3 linked regions of the Arabidopsis thaliana genome follow. The protein of the gene in region 1 purifies or fractionates together with the protein of each later gene. This does not show direct contact. Each region holds a gene or a part of one and is shown on either strand. Other genes may lie near its edges. The genes, in order: AT1G03960, AT2G42230 and AT3G57890.

The links.
Region 2: the proteins of AT1G03960 (region 1) and AT2G42230 fractionate together in Arabidopsis thaliana (co-fractionation; one large-scale study listed by BioGRID). This does not show direct contact.
Region 3: the proteins of AT1G03960 (region 1) and AT3G57890 fractionate together in Arabidopsis thaliana (co-fractionation; one large-scale study listed by BioGRID). This does not show direct contact.

Annotation. Positions count from the first base shown.
Region 1 is NC_003070.9:1,011,929-1,019,223, reverse strand, and holds AT1G03960 (Calcium-binding EF hand family protein), read right to left. Parts: upstream 5,573-7,295; 5' UTR 5,140-5,572; coding exon 4,987-5,139; exon of another isoform or gene 4,891-4,986; coding exon 4,681-4,890; intron 4,604-4,680; exon of another isoform or gene 4,548-4,603; intron 4,458-4,547; coding exon 4,352-4,457; intron 4,311-4,351; exon of another isoform or gene 4,274-4,310; coding exon 4,174-4,273; intron 4,026-4,173; coding exon 3,920-4,025; intron 3,797-3,919; coding exon 3,706-3,796; intron 3,541-3,705; coding exon 3,399-3,540; intron 3,146-3,398; coding exon 2,998-3,145; intron 2,885-2,997; coding exon 2,775-2,884; intron 2,430-2,774; coding exon 2,273-2,429; intron 2,167-2,272; coding exon 2,041-2,166; coding exon of another isoform or gene 1,987-2,040; exon of another isoform or gene 1,893-1,986; coding exon 1,752-1,892; 3' UTR 1,743-1,751; intron 1,657-1,742; 3' UTR 1,267-1,656; downstream 1-1,266. Other genes in the region: GBF4 (G-box binding factor 4), read right to left, coding at 175-987; VPS2.3 (vacuolar protein sorting-associated protein 2.3), read left to right, coding at 6,012-6,045, 6,312-6,356, 6,544-6,578, 6,665-6,715, 6,785-6,889, 6,988-7,059, 7,211-7,282. UniProt on the Arabidopsis thaliana protein: Probable regulatory subunit of type 2A protein phosphatase.
Region 2 is NC_003071.7:17,592,734-17,598,773, reverse strand, and holds AT2G42230 (C-CAP/cofactor C-like domain-containing protein), read left to right. Parts: upstream 1-2,108; 5' UTR 2,109-2,210; coding exon 2,211-2,696; exon of another isoform or gene 2,697-2,876; intron 2,877-2,971; coding exon 2,972-3,112; intron 3,113-3,236; coding exon 3,237-3,617; intron 3,618-3,718; coding exon 3,719-3,823; intron 3,824-3,910; coding exon 3,911-4,051; intron 4,052-4,189; coding exon of another isoform or gene 4,190-4,195; intron 4,196-4,329; coding exon 4,330-4,533; intron 4,534-4,640; coding exon 4,641-4,733; intron 4,734-4,829; coding exon 4,830-4,941; intron 4,942-5,025; coding exon 5,026-5,069; 3' UTR 5,070-5,363; downstream 5,364-6,040. Other genes in the region: AT2G42240 (RNA-binding (RRM/RBD/RNP motifs) family protein), read right to left, coding at 1-21, 125-194, 264-352, 466-514, 745-817, 1,063-1,119, 1,218-1,302, 1,514-1,576 and 1 more; AT2G42220 (Rhodanese/Cell cycle control phosphatase superfamily protein), read right to left, coding at 5,469-5,533, 5,623-5,727, 5,833-5,918, 6,013-6,040.
Region 3 is NC_003074.8:21,436,268-21,442,922, forward strand, and holds AT3G57890 (Tubulin binding cofactor C domain-containing protein), read left to right. Parts: upstream 1-1,816; 5' UTR 1,817-2,003; coding exon 2,004-2,510; intron 2,511-3,021; coding exon 3,022-3,129; intron 3,130-3,217; coding exon 3,218-3,358; intron 3,359-3,503; coding exon 3,504-3,878; intron 3,879-3,963; coding exon 3,964-4,068; intron 4,069-4,197; coding exon 4,198-4,338; intron 4,339-4,676; coding exon 4,677-4,880; intron 4,881-4,991; coding exon 4,992-5,084; intron 5,085-5,178; coding exon 5,179-5,290; intron 5,291-5,384; coding exon 5,385-5,428; 3' UTR 5,429-5,621; downstream 5,622-6,655. Other genes in the region: AT3G57900 (import inner membrane translocase subunit Tim17/Tim22/Tim23 family protein), read right to left, coding at 6,014-6,118, 6,206-6,307; AT3G57910 (D111/G-patch domain-containing protein), read left to right, coding at 6,504-6,629.

The sequences.
Region 1 (7,295 bases):
AGATATCTTATAAATCAGCAAAAAGCTATGTATTATCCATTACATCCCTTAGATACATTACAGGTAACTAAGTACTAACCATATCACCATCACTTTACTATATAGATTATAATATAGTAATCAAGCCCATATGTTTTTATTTTTTTTACATACAAAAGTTTTTTTTACCACACTTCACCATTCCAAGGAATGGCTCCTGCTTAAGGGCCTCGACGGTGGCCTTGGTTTCTCATCGACCGGAATCAGAACCTCCATGAGCTTCTTGTATCTCTCTTTAGTGCTCTCTTCAATCTCCTTCAAAAGCTGCTCATTCTCCTCCTCTAACTTGGCAGCCAAAGTCTCTAACTCAACCTGATAAGCCTGTTTCCTCTCTCGAGACCTAGCAGCGGATTCACGGTTCTTGATCATCCTCTTCTGTCTCTGAGCTGCAGCTTTATCCATTGCCTCCATCATCACTCTCCCTCTCTTTCCTCTCGTTACTCCTCCACCCATTGATCCTTCAACCATCTGGAACGAACTGTGTCGCTGCATCGGAAAATCAAATGTATAGCTACCGTCGTTGTTGAGTCTCTCCGTTGGAATCTTCACATCGATTTCATCTGAAGCTCCCTCGTCCATTTCTGCTTTCGCTAAGAAATCCTCAAGTGTCATTATATCTTCTGGTTCTTCTTCCTTCATCATGATCGTCTTTTGCTCTCCAGATACAATCTCTTTCCAAACATCGTCAACACTCTTTCCGTTGTTAACGCTGTTCCGATCTCCGATACTCCGATCAACATCAATCGCCATCTCGAAGGGCTTTGAATCAGACGCGAAAGTGTAATCGTTGACTCCTCCGCCGTAAGCGAAACTGATTCTGGAGTGATCGGCGTGAGGATTTGGTCGGAGATGGTGCGATGATCTTATAGAAGGGGAAGATGAAGCAGAAGAAGAATTACGGCGAGACAAGTCGGAATTGGAAGAAGACATCAACTTGAAGGACGCCATTTCCGGAGCTCACTGGAATTGGAACGAATTTTTATCTATCTGGGTTTTGTCAAAGAGAAAGAACAATCGGAAATGGTGGATTTTCTTCGAACCAGAGATCGAGAGAGATCTTTCTAGGGTTATCTCTAGTGTTTTGCAATGTAACCACGCGCTTACTCTCTATATACAAGTTTAATTAACTAATCACGCGCACATTAAACGCGTGACTTGCACCTTCTATCAACTATACTATAAGGAGATGTTTTTTCTTTTCTTTTTAATTAAGAAAAAAGATTTACTATTCAGATTTCTTTCTCTTTTTTTTTTTATGAAAAAGATATCAGTGCAACTAAAGAGATTTACAATTCAGATTTCTTTCTGAAAATATATTCGTGTGACAGTAAAGACTAAAAGAGTTTAACAATTCAGATTTATGAGTACATTCTGAGTTGGACAATCCAACTGGTTATATGGACACTAGATGATGTAGAGGGAGAGAGGGCCCAACTTGATATAATCTTTATAATGAAACCAAAACAAAATTGCAAAAATTTCATGAATTTGGCTGAGACTCTTTTGGAAATGATGATGAAAGCGTCTGGTAACAACCAACAGTGACCTCCAATCTCTGATCATGGATCTCTCTCCAGGGAAAACCTCAAATCATAAGTCTCCTTATTTGGTTGGTTTCTGTAGTCAAGATCGGCTTTCGACTCAATAAATCACAGAATTTTATAAGCATTTGCATTTCCTATACACAAGCAGTGTGAACTTACCACTATGGACTAAAATGGAGGTTCGAGTGGTTCATCCCAGACATCTGCACTCCCATTTGAGACTTCATCTACATCTTCCTCCATTGACAATCTCGCATACTCTCTCTGAGCAAATCGATCCCACTCTGTCAAATTTGGATCTTCCCGTTCCTACAGCAATGAAAGAGAATTATACTTGTTCTAATTGCCTCAATCCGAACTACTACAAACTGCCTTTAGCAGTTAAAAGAAGTCATATTCTTTGTTATTTTTTTCCCTCTTGAGTGCTATAAAAACTCCACTGGTAAGCCAAACTTACCTGGCGAATGAGAAATGGGTCACGTGTTTCAAATGCCATGAACTTATTAAGGTTGAAGAGTATATTGAAAACGTTTGCTGAAAGTTTCGATCCTTTCAGATCCTGGAGGGTGATACAGTTCTCCTTCTGCAAGGACATCCACCATATAGATGATTCCAGTCAAATAAATGATAAATAACAAAAAAGCTCGGAAAAATCAAACAACCATGTTCTGGTTTGTAAAGTAACTAACCTCGGGTCCAATCATGTCAATTATTTGACATAGGATATCACTGAAAAGAACAGCTTCCTGGGTTATGCATTCCATGCGATGCAGCTGCTCTTCGAAGAAAAACTGCATTTCGTTTGAAGTGATTACCCCATTTCCATCCAAGTCTACGCATTTGAACCTGCACGGAAAATTTCAATCAGTGTCAAGTAAAATACACGGACTTGCAAAAATATTGAGTTTTGACATCCATAATAGATAGATGAGCATACTAGGCTATAAACTAGTATCAGATTGTTAGATTGTTAGTGCCCGAGTATAAACAAGGATCCTATGTTCATGAAAAAATGGTACCATACAATGATTACTAAATATATCTGAGGAAGAGGACTTGTTACAAGTAACAAGTCCTCAAGTCACTGGTTTTGACTCCGTTGTAGTATATATATCAAGATCTTGTGATCTAAACCAAGGGGCAACATTCATTAAGGAAAACCAATATCAACACGGAGGGGGAGATGTGTACCAATACTCAAGACTAGGCTCGGAAGACTTGTCTTCCTCAGCGAGAATGAAGTACACAAAATCTTCATAACTCATCTTCCCTTCAACTTTACTCGTAAACTTCCTTGGAATCTAAAAGAGAAACATAGCCACAAGACGCATGGAGATCAAATAAAAAGGATCACATCATACTATATAACTTAGCTTTTAAGAAGGTCTAGGCAGGAACAATTTTGGGAACCAACCTGTGAAAATATTCTATCAACAATCCTGTAGGTAAGGGCATTATTACCATATTTGATGAGATTGTCCTTATCAATAAAACAATCATGGTCACCATCAAGTTCCCAAAATTTGCAGTATATCACGTAGAAGTGCTCATAGGAGAAGTACCTGAAAATTAAAAGAAACGACATGATTGCAAATGGTAAAATCAGGCATAAGTTCTGTTACAGAAGCAATATGAAGGTATAAGCCAATACTCATATAGCTCTTCCATTTTGAACTGTTTAATGTTACATATGTGATAAACCCTCGAACTTTAATATATTTTCGTAAGCTTGTTTACTCCTTATATAACAACAGAATATGTTTGAATTTCAAATACTTATTGTTAGGAAATTATGAAAAGAAAAAATAAACTCACCTAATAATTTTATTAATGTCGTCCTCTTCATCAAGTTGTTGCATAGCAGCAATTAAATTTCCACGTCTCAGCTCTCTAAGAGTAAGGCAGCCAGTTCCGGATCTGTTAATGTAGTAAAATATTCTGTAGATGACCGTTTCAGCTGGGTAATCAACAAAGGATTAAAATTAGTACAAGTATGAATCTAACATAAGTACATATCTAGTAGAGATATAAAGATGTATGCACAGAAAGAACGTCTTATTGAGTAGGTTTCATCATTTTTAACACCATGACAATCAGTAAGTCACAAATCAATGGTTCCTACCATATCTTTCTTGAAACTCGCTTATCGTCCTCAAAAATTCTAATCCAGGATGTGTTGCCAGAAGCTCATCAAGAACTGGTTTGAAGTCTGCCTGTAGCCAAATCCAAGAAATGATCAAAATGTATGGCACAATGGGTTAAGAAAAGGAAGACAATTGTTGGAAAATAAATCAGAACGCGGTTGGAGAAAAGCGGGAGAAGAATCACAAAAAGACCTGTCTGAGATAGCTGCAGCCCTGCTGCCTTAGTATATTATATATCTGGGAGGCTGTGTCCATAGTTAACATATTGCCATCAATCCAATACTTGATAAATGCATCCCTGAGGACAATTGGTCAATCAGCAAACATTAGTACCGCACCAATTACCCAACAAAGCTTTATAAGAAAATAGAGCAAGCACCCAAAGTTCTCATACTACTTTTAAAAAACATTTTATAAAAGAATAAATGAGTCATATATGGAGCTACCTTGTAACTATATCAGTGCAATTGGGATCGATCTTTCTGAAAAGTGCAGGAGAAAGAAAAGAAGGCAGCTTGCAGACTTGTTTCGTAATGGATTTGAATTCTGCAAGAGGAACGAGAATGGTAAAATGAACTGCCTTATATATTCCTTAGAAGGACAAAAATAGAACAAAAACATCACCATCTACATGTAGTCCATCAATATAGTTACTAAAAACTTGATCAACCATGGATAGACATTGCTCCTTTAGTTCTTTTGCTGGTGGACGCCCGTGTTGGTAGTAGAACTGCAGAAATTATAAACATATGAACAGTTGTGAGCGAAACTTATTATCATGTCACAGTGAAGGACCATTTTTCGTTCAAATCAAGTTTACCTACAAATTAGTAGCCTCGGTTTAAATTGTACCCTGCATCTACTAACGAAAGCTATCTGTTTCAACGACCAATCCAGTGAACATAGATACTAGACCAAAATCACAGGTCCAGAGGCAGGAAATGAGAACAAACCTGAGGAATGAGTTGGCGCTTTGGCTCCTTGAGTGATCTAAGAGGAGAGTGGAGAGAAGGAGGGCTAGTCCTTTGCCTGGAGAAACGAGGGGAACCAGAGGAGCTTCGTGGAGATAGTGGGGGAGTGCTGCTGCTCAGAAACACAGAAGGCAAATTCTTGGATTTATTAGTTGGTGTTCCAGATTTAGCATCATCAATCAAAGACTTGACCTACAGAAACATGAAAAATGGGAAACCAAGGTCATGGAACACACTTGTGTAAAAGAGAGGCCAAGGAAGGAAGTGTAGAAATAAGAAGGTGGCTACCAATGTGGCAGTTTCAGGGAGTGAGAGCCACTGAGAGAAGAGGTCATCAGCAATAAGAGAGGTTGGTTTGAGGGGAGAAGGAGACAAACCGGGGAGCTGCAAGAGCTCAGGATCTAAAATATGAAGATCGTCGTCTACTCCGTCAATATCCATGATCTCCGCAACGAGAAGCCCTACTTGTTCAAACTCCTTGAATCGTAACAAAAGCGCCGGGAAAATCGAGAAATTCAAAATTCGACAACAGCGGCTATGAAAAGTCGACGCTACTGTGTGAACCAACTTGAATTATTATAATTGGAGAAACAACAATCCGATTCGATAAACCCTAGTTATCGAATTTGATATAAGTAAAGTACAAAATCACTGAGGATTTGTTTCCAAAAATAGACAGATGATTGGACACGTAAGATTCCTACACCGAGTAGGAAGGAAGTTGGCAGATGAGCGAACAAAGCAATTCCGATCAATAATCGGCAAAGAAAAATGGGGAGGTTCTGAGATTTTGCCGGAAAGTTATCAAAGGAAAGGAGGAGGAGGACCTCGAGAGATATTTATTACTCACCGGCCGTTTCTTTTTCTTTTTTTTTTCACTTCTTTCTGTTTGACCCCCCTATCTCCTTTTGCCAAGGATTAAAATTAATTTTGTTTTTAGATTAATTTAATCAAAACAAAAATATAATATTGTATCATATATTTATTTATTTATTCTAAATAGAAAATACTTAGGTTAGTAGTAGTCGTGTAAAAAAAACGATTTAATTACATTATGTATAACGTTTTAGCTATAAATTCTCGTATTTGTGGAATTTAATAATCACAGTAAAAAAACTAATAATCAAATATAAATAAGAATATTTACGTAATCGATGAGAAAATTAAAACCTTCAAAAATTTGCTGCGATCACGTTTGAAGCTAAATCTCTCTCTCTCTAACTACCTCTGTGGTACAGAGTCTCCGTGTTCTAAAAGCTTTGAGACCATCTTCAATTTCACAGAGAAAAACAAAACAAGCAAGGAGAAGAAACATGAACATCTTCACTAAGAAACCTAATCCCAGAGGTTTAATTCCACCGGATTTTTCTTTTGTATCATTATGGATTTTGTTTTCTCAATTAGGTTTTTTTTTTCTCCGATTGATCAACCTAAATGGAATTTTGATCATCTGGGTTTCTTCCGGTTGACTTCTTCTGTAATTTTGTGGCGCGTTCGTGATCATGTTTCTTTTGGAATCTGGCTTGGTTTCGTCTGAATTCGAGAATCTTAATGTCTATTGAAATCGGACTGTCAGAATCTGAATGTTTCGTTTTTTTTTTTGGCAATTGCAGAAGTGCTTCGGGAGAGTAAGAGAGAGATGACACAAGCTACCAGAGGTATTCTTTGTTCATATGCTTGGATTATTGAATCTAGAAAAAGGTTAATTCATTGTTTTTGATTGCTTGATTGATAAGCTACTATGTTCCATGGCTTTAACTAGATATTACTCAAGTATTTATCGCCATATACCTAAATTCCTCTCAAACTGATGAAATTTTCCACCTTTTCGTGTTTTGGCTTCAGGAATCGAAAAGGAAATCGGATCTCTGCAATCAGAAGTATGAGTGTGGCTCAGTTAGTAACGTTTTCATCCATCTTTTTAAAAGGGACATATCTAAAAAACGTTTTCTTTCATGTTTGATAGGAAAAAAAGCTCGTTCTCGAGATCAAAAGAACTGCTAAATCAGGCAATGAGGTATTTCAAGCATTCCTTATCAGTAATAGCATCTAGTTTATGTACACTACATCTTTTGTTTTTATGCAGGGAGCGACTAAGATTCTTGCTCGGCAATTGATCCGTCTAAGGCAGCAAATAGCTAACTTACAAGGTAGCCGAGCTCAAATGCGAGGCATTGCTACTCATACACAGGTTTCTTAATTTAAACAACTTCTATCCTTTCATTCTAAAGTATTTCTGTTTATAAACCAAGAAGATTGAGTATTGGAAGCTTTCTCTTTGGTGTTTAGGCTATGCATGCACACACTTCAGTTGCTGCTGGAATGCAAGGTGCCACTAAGGCAATGGCAGCTATGAGCAAGGTCAGATTCCCTATGTAACACAAATCTGATTTGTCCATGTTTAATTATTTGATTGGATTCATCAAGTTAAATTAGTAGAAATAACTTAAATCCAGTAGGAATTTTGAGGGGCTCTTTTGTTAAGATCTTGTTGTTTCTGTGGGTTTTCCAGAATATGGATCCAGCAAAACAGGCTAAGGTTATGAGAGAATTTCAAAAGCAGTCTGCACAAATGGACATGACTGTAAGTTCTTTCA
Region 2 (6,040 bases), on another chromosome or scaffold:
TTCACTTGAGCAACTGACGTCCTGCAAAGCCACATATCAAAGTAAACATGCGAGAGTCAATTCACTCTTTAAACAAACTAGGATCTCTCTCGATTTAAAGAAAAAGATATTGCAAGAGCTGTACCTGGAAATCAACAAATGCAACAGGAGTCCCATATGTACCCTGAATCTTCAGCTTCAAGAATCCACGGCATCTGAGAGGAAAGAGAGTGAAAACTATCTCTAGTGGTTACAGTTTTGCGTGGAGAATAGAGTATTCTTACCTCGAGAAAACTTGAATTAGCTCAGCTTCGGTGCAATTTGGTCCCATATTCGCTATGAAAAGTGTTGGACAAGGATCTGCCGCCTTACTCTGTCAAAGGAACAAAGATTGTCATGTTCACTGGTAAGAATAGTTTACCTCACTGTTTTTCGTCCAGACAGAAAACAATACTCATATGAAGTATAAAATAGGCAGAAGCTTACAGGTTTTCTAGAAGTCGGTGCCCTCCCAGCAACATTAGCAATTCCTTGACTGAACGAGCAAAAAGAATTTAATGAGACCCTGAGTTTCGTGAGCTAATAGCTAAGAAAGAACAAGCACTCTCGTAACCAGTATCTAGACATGTGAGCTAGGACTAGTTCAGCTAATCCTTAAGTAGGTCAGATTTTCAAGGCAGAGGTACAAGAAAAGAGTGTGCAACAAAGAAACAGAATCTAAGCATTCACAAGGAACTAGAAATGTGCTCAAGTAGTGCAGATGACCTTTGTGCAGGTGAATAACCAATTGTGTTGTAAGCAGAACTACTCATTCCAGGAGTTTGAAAGCTGCCAAAACCTGCTAGTGCCCAAACGTGCAAGAATGTGCAGTGTGAGTTTTCAGAAACGTGAAACCATGTTGACGGCACTTAAAGCCCAAGTGTGAAATCTTAAACCAAAAAGAGCTAGCATGCATGAGCGTGATGGTCATGAAGATTGGAAGTTTGAAAATATATATACTACACAAACATTCAGTTACAAGAAACATAAAATACAGAAGGTTACAAGAAGCCTCAAGATGAAGGTGTGTGCCAATGATCTTACCAGATTCAGTAGTAGTGTTCCAAGACTTGAGTTTTTTCAAGCTTTCCCAACCATCATCTACCATATCACAAAAATCACAAAATAAAAATTAACACAACAATAGCAAAGGTCAAATTTTTATTGAGCTACCGAACCGAAAGAATCCTACTACTTGCCTGTTCTTGAACGCTTAGATTTGGGATTTGATTTGGCAAGGTCAATGTGAAGAGTAGAATGCTTTTCAAGATCAAACACCATTCCCTGAAAGGTTCAGAAATAAAATTCAGAAAGTTTCTTAATCTAGGCAAATGACAAAGCTTATTCACTTACGCATACAAATCCCAACCGAATGATTTCAATTTACTAGATTGAATTAAGAACAACCATAAAGATACCAAATTTACTTAATGCTTTGTAAGTAGATACATCGGCGACACATTGCAAGAGCAAGTTTGAAGAAATTTGTACTCACATTGAGAGCATGCATCACCGCTACAGCTGATTGCAGATCCGAGAACACAGCAAATGCGAAGGGCTACCAAACAAATAAAGTAAGATTCTCAGTCTCTTCGCCGGGAAACATCATTACCCAAATCACAAATCCGGAGAGATAGAAAATGATTACCTTAGCTCCATCTGAGCTCCGGAGATGCGAAGTCTCATATCCTGGGAACTCACGAAAGAGATTGTAGATCTCCCGAGGCTTGACATCTTCAGGAAGTCCGGCGACGAAAAGCGTCCTAACCTCATCGCGAGCTCCAATTGAGACATGGGTAGGCAAATAGACGGAATGAGCTGAAGTAATTGGAATCGGAGAAACTCCCGGCGGCGGAGGAGGAACCATCGCCGGTAAATTATAGTGAGAATAGTAAGCTTCCAAATCATCCATTGACAACGACTTAATCTCGTGGCCGGTGAAAGTCGCAGTTTACAACGGAGAAGAAACTAATCGCGTTACTTAATGGGCCGTTTAAAGCCCATTTAAATATCGGCCTTTTTGACCCATTGTTCATCACCAGGCGTAGGATAATAGCATGTGGTTGCACACACTGTAACATAACACTCTCTCTCTTTTTTTCTTCTTCTTGATGACAATTGTTCCTATGTTCAAAGATCTGCAACTTCATTCATAACAGTTCTTTTTCTCTCGTTCTCTGGTTTAAAGCATAATGACGGAAGAGCTCATCGACCAATCACCACCACCTGACCCAGACCCGATTCAAAATTCGAATTTAATAATCCACCCAAGACGTGTTCCTTTCGAGCACGGCCTTCTTCCGATCCAGAAGCTCGTTTTTACCGACCCGATTCAAACTCTAGCTCCGATCAAGCAAAAGTTAGCTTCTTTGGCGACGAATCATCGCGTCGGATCTGCTGCCATTTCCGATGCACTCTCGATCTCCGATGACCATGCGCGCCTCGTTCTCGAAACTCTCTCTTCGGTGCTCCATTGCGAGACTGACCCATTGGTTTTGGCCAAACCTGAGGAAGTTGATTCCGTGGGAGCTGATTTGAGGGATCTGATATTGTTTCTCTACATTCAATCGTATAAGAAGTTATTGCCTAGGACGCATAAAGACTCTGCTTCTGTGGCTGATGTTTGGCCTTCGACTTCTGCTTTTGATGGATACTTGTCGGCATTATCTCCAATTCAGGCAAGCTTTTTTATTCTCTTAATCATGTAATGTGGCTCAAAACGTTATCTTGTGATCTATTTGGTTTAAAAAATTTCATTTTGCATTGGATTTTACTATAATTTTGCAATGCAAGTTAAATAATATTACGTTATCATTCAGAAACATATGAAAAGGATTGTCTGATATTTGAAATATTTTACCGATAATTGTTCTCATTACTGTTTCTATCATATGGGTAGAGACATCCTTGTAGCTGTTGAGTTTAAGTTAAATTTCCTTTCATCATCTTGCAGCTTGTTCGTAGCAACAGCCGTCGGTTTATGCCATCACCGACAGATGAAGAAGCTCATCAATTATCGTATCTGCAAAAGCACATTGCAAATATTATTTCTCTCCTTGCAGAGCCTGTGGAGGGACAAGGAGATGATTCTTTGGTATGTGCTAAACTTTTTTTATGTTTGTATCAGATGGATAGAAAATTTTATGTTGTGATGCAATATTATGGGAAATGGAAAAGAACGAATATCTCATGCTAGATGGTCCGAATCTCCTCCTCAGGTCCTGTCTATGGAGAGTTTGGAGCACATTGGGTTTCTTGTTCATTATGGTGATAAGGGATTTGATGTACCTTCTTTAAGCCAAGCTACTCCTTTTTTTGCGAATTCTGATCCTGATATGCCCGCTGTCCCCGTTCCTGCTTCCCAAGTGAATGATTGGCTTCTCAAAGACATAGCTTCCGCCTTAGAAAGCATTTCTAACAGAATCTCTGGGAAAGAAAATGGGGCATCTAATGCCTCTGATCAGAATGCTGCAATGGCTGATTCTAGTGTAGCTCTTAATAAAGTTTCATCTAACGACAGAGGTCCATGTATTATTGAGGGAGTCTCTAAGACCTCACTTTTCAAGCAGGCTTCTGATCTTAAGGGTAGATCAGTGAAGGTCCGTATTGAACAACTAATTTGCATTTTAAACAGCAATCCCTCATTTAGTTTCGTTTACTCATGTATGCACGTCAATTGCATGTTTTGTGTATTCTGCAGGTTGCCAATTGCCATGATTCTGTTATTTATCTGTTAGCGCCATTGAGATATGCAACTGTGTATGGGTGTTCTGATTCTACTATCGTTCTGGGAGCTGCTGGCAAGGTACGGCAAATATACTCCTTTCTGTTTTAGTCTTTGTTAGCGAGGTTCAGGTTAGAATGCAGTGATAATATTTTATGTTCTTTGCAGGCAGTAAAAGTTGAGCATTGTGAGAGAGTTCATGTGATTGTAGCTACCAAACGAATTTGCATCGCCAATTGCCGTGAATGTGTGTTCTTTTTGGGAGTCAATCAGCGACCTCTTATAGTTGGTGATAACCACAAACTACAGGTGATATGTCTATTTAAGATTGAGCTGCATACATAACTCTTCTTTCCCGCCCTGATATTCAGCTGAAATTAATAAATAGACTACAGTTTTTCTTTTAACTCTAGGCTAAATCTTTCCTGTGTTAATATCCTGGTATAGTCATGATCGTATTAATGGTTCCTGGTGTTTGGAAAATTGAGCATGCTGTTAAAGTCACTTCTTCAACTGAGTTAAGTGGAAACATCTTCTGATGTGTTGTCTATAACTGTTGGCATCAATGTGACTGTTATCTGTTCCAGGTTGCTCCATATAATACATTTTACTCACACTTGGAGGAGCACATAACCGAGGTAGGAATTCAGCCAACTATCAACAAATGGAACGAATCCTTGGCGCTCGGAGCAATTGATCCGCATGACTCACTATCACATCCGACTGGTGCCTCTGATAAACAAGCTGAACCGGCTTCTTGTGTGGACCCTGACCAGTTCACTACCTTTTTGGTTAGATTCCCCTTTTTGTTAGTTTAATTTTCCTCTAGTAACTAGTGATATTGGTTATTAAGATTGTGTTCGTGGGTTAATTTCTCACATCAATGTCTCTGGTTCAGATCCCAAACTGGTTTGCGGGTGAGGCGATTGGTTCCACGAAAGACAATCCATTTCCATTGCCAGATGCATATAAGGCAGTGCAGCAGACAAACGTATGTTTTTTATTTGCTTTCCGCATAAAATTGCTCGTTTCTTTTTCATCCATACTTCAGCATCTGATCCCTTAACTGTGTTTTGGTTTTGAGCAGCTTAAGAACTTAGAGGAAACAAGACAATCCTTGAGAGAAACACCTCTCGAAGAAAACCGAAAACGAGAACTCACTACAGCGTTCCACATGTATTTCAAAGACTGGCTATACGGTAATCAAATAAAATCCCCATTCTAGTTCATTTACTCCTTTGGCCAGCCAATGATCTATATGTATCTCTTTCTTTTGGTGACAGCGACGGGAAATATTCGGCAACTTTACTGCCTACAAGGCGATTAAGACCAATGGCGATTGAAAATGTCAGAGTCACTGTAGAGTTCTCTTGATCCGTTCCTTCTCAGAGATTTGCTAGCACGTTTGACATCAGAATTTAACTGCACAGCACGCTCTCTAACTCCTAAAGCTCTGTTTTTTTGTGTGTAGGTTTCTCTCTGCTTTTATCGTATTTATTAGTCTTAAATATCCACGTTTTTGTCCTTGAAAAACATTAAGCCATCTTGTCTTGTTGTTGATTTCTTTCAATTGTTATAACAACTTTTCTCAATACCATATATATAAATCTTTTAGTAACTACTACTTGGGAATTTTAAATATTTTGAATTTTCTCTTAAGCATCACATTCAAAACAGGCAGAAAATGTGAAAACATGTCTGCCTCAATTGTTTTCTTTGTCTTGTCTTAGCTTGTTGGAGGAAAGAGCTTCTCTGCTTGGTCCGGGAAGAACTGTATGAACAAATAAGCACCTGCAAGTTCAACAAAGTCTTACTCATAACCAAAGGAAAGACCAAACAACATTCTCTATATTCTTCAGCTCTATGTAAATTAAACTTACAGACGAGTACTGTCCCTAAGACTGCTGAGATCTTGCCTTGAATTGTGATAAGCCCTGCTTTGCCTGCATTCTGCAACTCAGTGGAACCGACGGATTCAAATGTCCCTAAAGTCGCAACAACAGTAAATCCGATTCATTATCCTTCTCAAACCAAACTATCTCCAAAACCCCTCAAGAAATGATCTTAGATGAAACCAAATGGGATCAAACCTGGTTTTACAGATTGTAGCCCTGATGTTACACAAGCAATGTTTTCGTAACCTGCTTCCTCCAATCTACTAGCTGCAGCTGCAGATCTTTTCAAGAATCGAACAAAGAAACTTATAATTTTTCTTCATACTACATTTGGTGATACATGTCTCAGTGAAATCCAGAGTTTGTTCTACCAACCTGAGACCTTCTTGGCAAACAAGTAAAA
Region 3 (6,655 bases), on another chromosome or scaffold:
CGTCACGGTAATTGTTTCGTCGAAAAATGACTATTTTAAACTGTACGGTTCATGGTCACTTTTTGTGTATTTACATAAAGAAAAAATATTAAATTTTATACTCAGAATTAGGTATGGGCACGAAGCGGATATCCGGAAAAATTATGATATTTGTTATTCGATTCGTTTTAAACGAATACTTGATTTTGTGATTCGCTTTACTTCGAAAATTTCCAGATATCCGGAATTTCGAATATCCGGAATTTTTTGTGATATTTGCGGATATCCGCTTTGATACATTTAAATATTAAAAAAATATGTATACTATATAACTATATCATATATTCAAAAAATTTATCCGTGCGTTCCTTAATTGGTGTCTCCGTGTGCTTTTAAAATAAGTTCTAAATACCAAACATAACCGTTGTTGGTATCACCGGTCAACAAAATATTATCAAACTAATTCCAAAACTAAAACCCGATAGTTTTTTGATGCCATTGATCAAAACATAACATAAAAAAAAATGATCAAACAAACATCTTAACATAAAAACATAAAATGACAACAATACACAAACTATTTATGATATCTATATATAGATATACTATATTTTCTAATATATATAAAAAGATACGGATCGAAGCGGATATTCGATTTTTTAAAAAACAATATTTATTATTTGATTCGATTTTTACGAATACTATATTTTTCTATTTGCTTTGCTCCAAAATCTTACGAATATTCGGATTTTTCGAATCAAATTAAATCAAATACCGAATCGAAACGGATCAAATCAAATCAAATCAGAATATTGAGCTAGCTGAATGAATGAGATAACCTAAGAATCCAAAAGTTGATAGTGTTCCCTTTCCGAATTCCAATAGTAGCTTGATAACATTTATTTAACGGCGATAAATTCAACCGTTAGTTTGATTACCAATCAAATAATTGCTTGCAATAGACGGATGAAACGAGTGGTAAGAATAGGTGATTGAAACAAACGGTTAAAAGCTTAAACAAAATAGGTGAGTTTGCAACCTCTCTTGTTCACCATTGGAATATTTTAGTTATTTAACGTTTCTTAGATTTTTAAAACTGTAATGTATTTGAATTATTTACTAAAGAGTTTTGTTTTTCTTTGTTTTTTAAATATTTTTAGTTATTTATTAAATATTTTAATTTAGTTTTTTTTTTTTACTGTTTAACCGTTTGTTACTAATCATAACTATTATTTAACGGTTCATTTTAAATTATTTATCATTTTTTCTTTTAATATATTTTCTAACCGTTTTTTTTTATCAGTCTTTTTTGTAAGTGTTAAATAAAATAACCGCCTTATTTAAACGATATTACCAATTGGTTTAATTTTAGGTTGTTCATCTTTTCTAACCGTTTTTTTCTACCCGCCTTTTTCTGTAACTGCTAAAAAACATAACCGTCTCATTTAAACGATGTTTACCCATTGCAAACCATTTTCCTTAAACAAGCGGACAATATTTAAATTGCAATGAAAGCGAGTTATGAGTTCTTTTGGCCTAAACTTCCCAATTTTATCTCTCTTTTTCCCACTAATCTTCTAACAATTTTAATTAACAGTGACAACTTACAAGTACTTAGGTAACCAAGTATATTTCCCTATTGTAAAACCTAATTATGAGTTGTGATGATCACCTTTTCTCCTTTTGACGAACGCTTAGGACCTAACTTATTGCAACAATGGCCTAACTAAAACTTAAATGCGATTTGCATTCAATTCTCAAATGGGCCTCTTTAGTTAACATGTTATCTCCGTTCATCTGACGTGTCATAGCTCAGATCAAAGGTTAATCTACTCGTAAATCCAACGACCAAAGAAACGAAGCGTACGTTACTAACATACACGTGCACGCACTGTAACCATCTCTCTCTCTGCTCTTCTCCTTCAATGAAATGATTCGTCACCCAAAGAAAGATCTGCAACTTCACCACCGGACCAGTCTCTCTCTATCTCTTCTGTCTCTCTACCTCGCGCGACGAATCAATCATGACTGAAGAACAAGACCTCATCGACCAATCACCACCACCTTCAGCACCCGACCCTGAACCAAACTCGAGCACGAATCCGAATTCAGTAATCCATCCAAGGCGTGTGTCTTTCGAGCACGGACTCCTCCCGATCCAGAAACTCGTTTTCACCGACCCGATCCAAACCTTAGCCCCTGTCAAGCAGAAGCTAGCCGATGCGGCTTCGAATAACCGCGTTGGATCGGCTGCAATCGCCGACGTTCTCCAGATCTCCGGCGACCATGCGCGTCTCGTTCTCGAGACTCTCGGTTCGGTGCTTCATTCCGAGTCTGACCCTCTGGTTCGGGCGAAACCTGAGGAAGTTGATTCCGTCGGAGCTGATTTGCGGGATCTTATTTTGTTCCTGTACATTCAATCGTATAAGAAGTTGCTTCCTAGGACGCATAAGGACTCCGCAGCGGTGGCTGATGTTTGGCCATCGACTTCAGCTTTTGATGGATACTTGTCTGCGTTATCGCCAATTCAGGCAAGTTTCTTACTTTTTTTGGCCCTCTTATTATAATGTGCCTCAATCCCAGCGCCTGCGATTTGTTTGGTATTGAAATGGAACTGTTGTACTCGAGTATGGAATTGGAACGTGGTAGAGAATAACTTATTTCCATTTCGCATTGTATTTAACTAAAATTTGCAATGCAAGTTTAAGTTTTCTGAGTCATTTGATTTACCTGAAACTTAGAGTTAAGCAATGTCGGAAATTTGGGTGATTAATTGAATTGATGGTGGCTATAGTTTCGTAACAATTCTCAATGAGGAAGATGCTTACTTGTATTTAATTGCCAGTCCCCTTTCTCTGATGACTCTGGGGCAATGGTAATTGGTTAGTTTACTAACTAAAGTCAAACAGTCGCCAGCTTGCTTTGTTTTGTGGTTCGGAATCTGATTCTTTTTCCGTTGTACCTTATTTTGTTTGGTCCTTTCACGTGGTTTATTTGGTGATAATGCTTGGTGTGTTCTTGAATTTTGACTCGGGTCTCCAGTCCTGTAATATTCTGTTTCCTGTGTGGTATGGATGTTCTATTGAGTCTTTTAGAAAACAGTCATATAATCTTAAGCTTTTCAGTGTTTTCTACAGTCACTGTTCTTTGGTATTCTATCGTTTCTCATCACATGGGTCGAACCAACTTTATTGGAGCTAAAATTGTTATTTATATCTCCTTTTCATCATTTCTGCAGCTTGTTCGCAGCAACAGCCGTCGATTTATGCCATCACAGGCAGATGATGAAGCTCATCAGTTGTCATATCTGCAAAAACATTTAGCAAACATCATTTCTCTCCTTGCAGAGCCTGTGGAGGGAGAAGGAGATGAATCATTGGTAAGTTCTAATCTTTCTTATATTCTCAGGGGGTGTCACTGTTCTAAGCTACAAGAATATAAAATTCTGATGTTGGAATAAGAATTTTTTAGGAAATGAAAGAGAACACAAGTTAATTTTTTTTTTCTTGTCCAATATCGTTCAGGTTTTCTCTATGGAGGCGTTCGAGCATCTGCGTTTTCTTGTTCAGTTTGGTGATAAGGGATCTGATGTATCTCCATTGAGCCAAGCTACTCCTTTTTTTGCAAATTCTGATCCGGATATGCCCGCTGTTCCAGTCCCCGCTTCCCAAGTGCATGACTGGCTTCTGCAAAACATAGCTTCCGCTTTAGAAAGCATTACTGAGAGAATTTCTGGAAAAGAGAACGGACCTTCTAACGATCAAGATGATGCGATGTCAGATGTTTGTGCTGCTCCGAACAAGGTTGCACCTAGTACTAGAGGCCCGTGTTTAATCGAGGGAGTCTCCAAGACTTCACTTGTTAAGCAAGCCTCCGATCTAAGGGGTAGATCTGTGAAGGTCTGACTGTTCCTTGTTCCGTTTTTCTTCCAGTCATGGAATCTCTGTGCAAGCATGTCAACTCCTTGTTTTGTGTATTTTTCAGGTTGTCAATTGCCATGATTCTGTAATTTATCTTTTAGCACCATTGCGATATGCAACTGTGCACGGATGTTCTGATACTACTATAGTTTTGGGAGCTGTTGGCAAGGTATGGAAACAATGCTTCTTCCTTCTTTATCTTTTCTGAAGATAGTCAAAGCAACATTTAACAAGTTATAATATCTGCCAACTTTTATTAAAAGATGTATCAAACATAATTCCGTATTTATTTCTGCAGGCAATAAAAGTTGAGCACTGTGAAAGAGTTCATGTGATTGTAGCTGCCAAACGAGTGTGCATTGCCAATTGTCGTGAATGTGTATTCTTCTTGGGAGTCAATCAGCGGCCACTTATTGTTGGTGATAACCACAAACTGCAGGTGAAGCTTCTCTTTAAGATTGTGGTTTAATTTACAAGTTTTATGTCATGTTGCTCTTATTTACCTTTCTGATATTAAGGTAAAAAAAATTGAGTGGCTAGACTTTTTACTAGATTTAGTTTGGTTAGTTTGGTTAATAAGCCGTTTCGGACACGTCATCAAGTCTAGTGGAAACAAACTTGGAGGGGTGGCTAGACTGCTGCTAGATACGTTTAGTCAAATGTTTTCCTCAAGAAGGTTTTACTGGTTTTTAAGAGTGCGGGCATTGTCAGATATTGCTTCTAGTGATTATGGGCTTCTATTTTTAAAGTGCTGGCATCAATTTGACTTTGTTTCAGGTCGCTCCATATAATACATTTTACTCTCATTTGGAAGAGCACATGAGGGAGGTAGGGCTTGAGCCAACGATCAACAAATGGGACAAACCATTGGCCCTGGGAGCTGTGGATCCACATGACTCCCTGTCACATCCTGCCGGTGTTGCTGATGCACAGGCTGAATCAGCTGCTTCTGTAGACCCTGACCAGTTCGTAAACTTTTTGGTACATTTTCTATTTGGGTCTAACATTTACGTCAATAATTGGTGAATGCTTTTCAGTGTCATGAAGCATCTAATGACGTGTTTTTCGGTGGTATCAATGACAATGGCACAGATCCCAAACTGGTTTAGCGGCGCGGAGCTTGGTTCGACGAAAGACAATCCATTTCCATTGCCAGATGCTTATATGGCAGCTCAGCAGAGAAACGTATGTTTTAAAGTTATACTTAACCAGATAAACAAATGCATTTGTTATTTTTGTCCATATCTGATCTTGTATCTGCAATTTTTTTTGTCATCAGCTTAAGAACTTTGAAGAAACAAGACGATCGTTAAAAGAGGCGCCTCTAGAAGAAAACCGGAAACGAGAGCTATCAAGTGCACTCCATGTTTATTTCAAAGACTGGCTTTACGGTAAGAAAACTTTCTCTGAATCGATCCCTACTTTACTTTATTGATATGCATCATTCATTAGGTTTTGACTTAGTCTATGTTTTTGTTGCGACAGCATCTGGAAATATAAGGCAACTCTACTGCCTACAAGGTGACTAATAAGAATAATAGACCAAGCGGAAAGTGTCTTGTTCATGTAGAGCTCCTTCGATCATATTTGGCATATTGCTAGTGAAGAAACCCCACCCCAAGACCAAAAGAAAAAAGAAAAAAGAGAAATCAGCCTGATTCAGTGATTTGTAGTTTGGAACCAATACTTCACAACGTAACTTATCTGCACAGAAATACTCTCTTAAAGCTTTCGTTTAGATTATTGTTTTCTTGATTTCTGCTTTTCTTTCCTTGACATTTCAATCCATCGTTTTTGTTCCCTTCTCTATTGAAAATCTCATCTTCAAATAGAGCATGATGACTTGAATTGTTATAAGTTATAACTTGTAAGCAAAACTGTTTTGATAGATAGTCTTGTCTTGGTCAAATAGATTTAAGTGGACGCAAGAGTTAGGCTACTACCATGGTAGGTGCAAATTTCTGAAGAAGTTTTAGAGCTCCAAAATTTCTCATATTTGCAGAATCTCATATTCGTAGAAACATCCAAACAATGCAACATAACATGAACATCTCAAGATACAAAAACAGAAGGACATGGGATGGAACAGAGATATCCATGAGCGCAGGATCCAGCTAATAATGAGTTCTTGCTACTTTAGTCATTGTAATGTGTGCTCCATTGAAGAAATCTCTCTTAGCTCTAAAGTTCTGCACCAACTGTTCAACACCAATGAACACCTCCAATGGCAGCAAAAGTCAGCCCGTGGCTTCCCATCATCTTCAACGTTCTGATGAGTCCTGGAAGAGCAACGTTTCTTTCAATACGAGGGACGTCTTTCCAGTTGCAAAACCAGTCACAGCATCTTTGAATGTCTTCATCATCGCTCCATTTTCCTCTTCCAAGTATCTCATTTCTGTAGGATCCATGATAATTTCTTCAACCGATAAAGCTTAGTCCTTTTTATGTCAAACGTGATCTAACAAAGAAAATTGGCAGCAACGACATAGTGGAGAACACAGCCAAATACTATTATTATTGGGCCTAATTAAAGCCCATTAATGATTCTCTTTTTTTTTTTGTTGTTCTCCCTTCCTCTCAGCGCGAACGCAAGCTCCGTCGGCAATGGCAGAATCGACGAGAAATCTGACTGGGCTTGGAGGAGAAGCAGCGAAAGAAGAAGATGATGAGTACATGGGAGACCTTTCTCAGTTTATTCCTCAGGAACTTAGCCAGACCTCCAAAAGAAAGGTATCTTCAGGCCAAAATTTTCATCT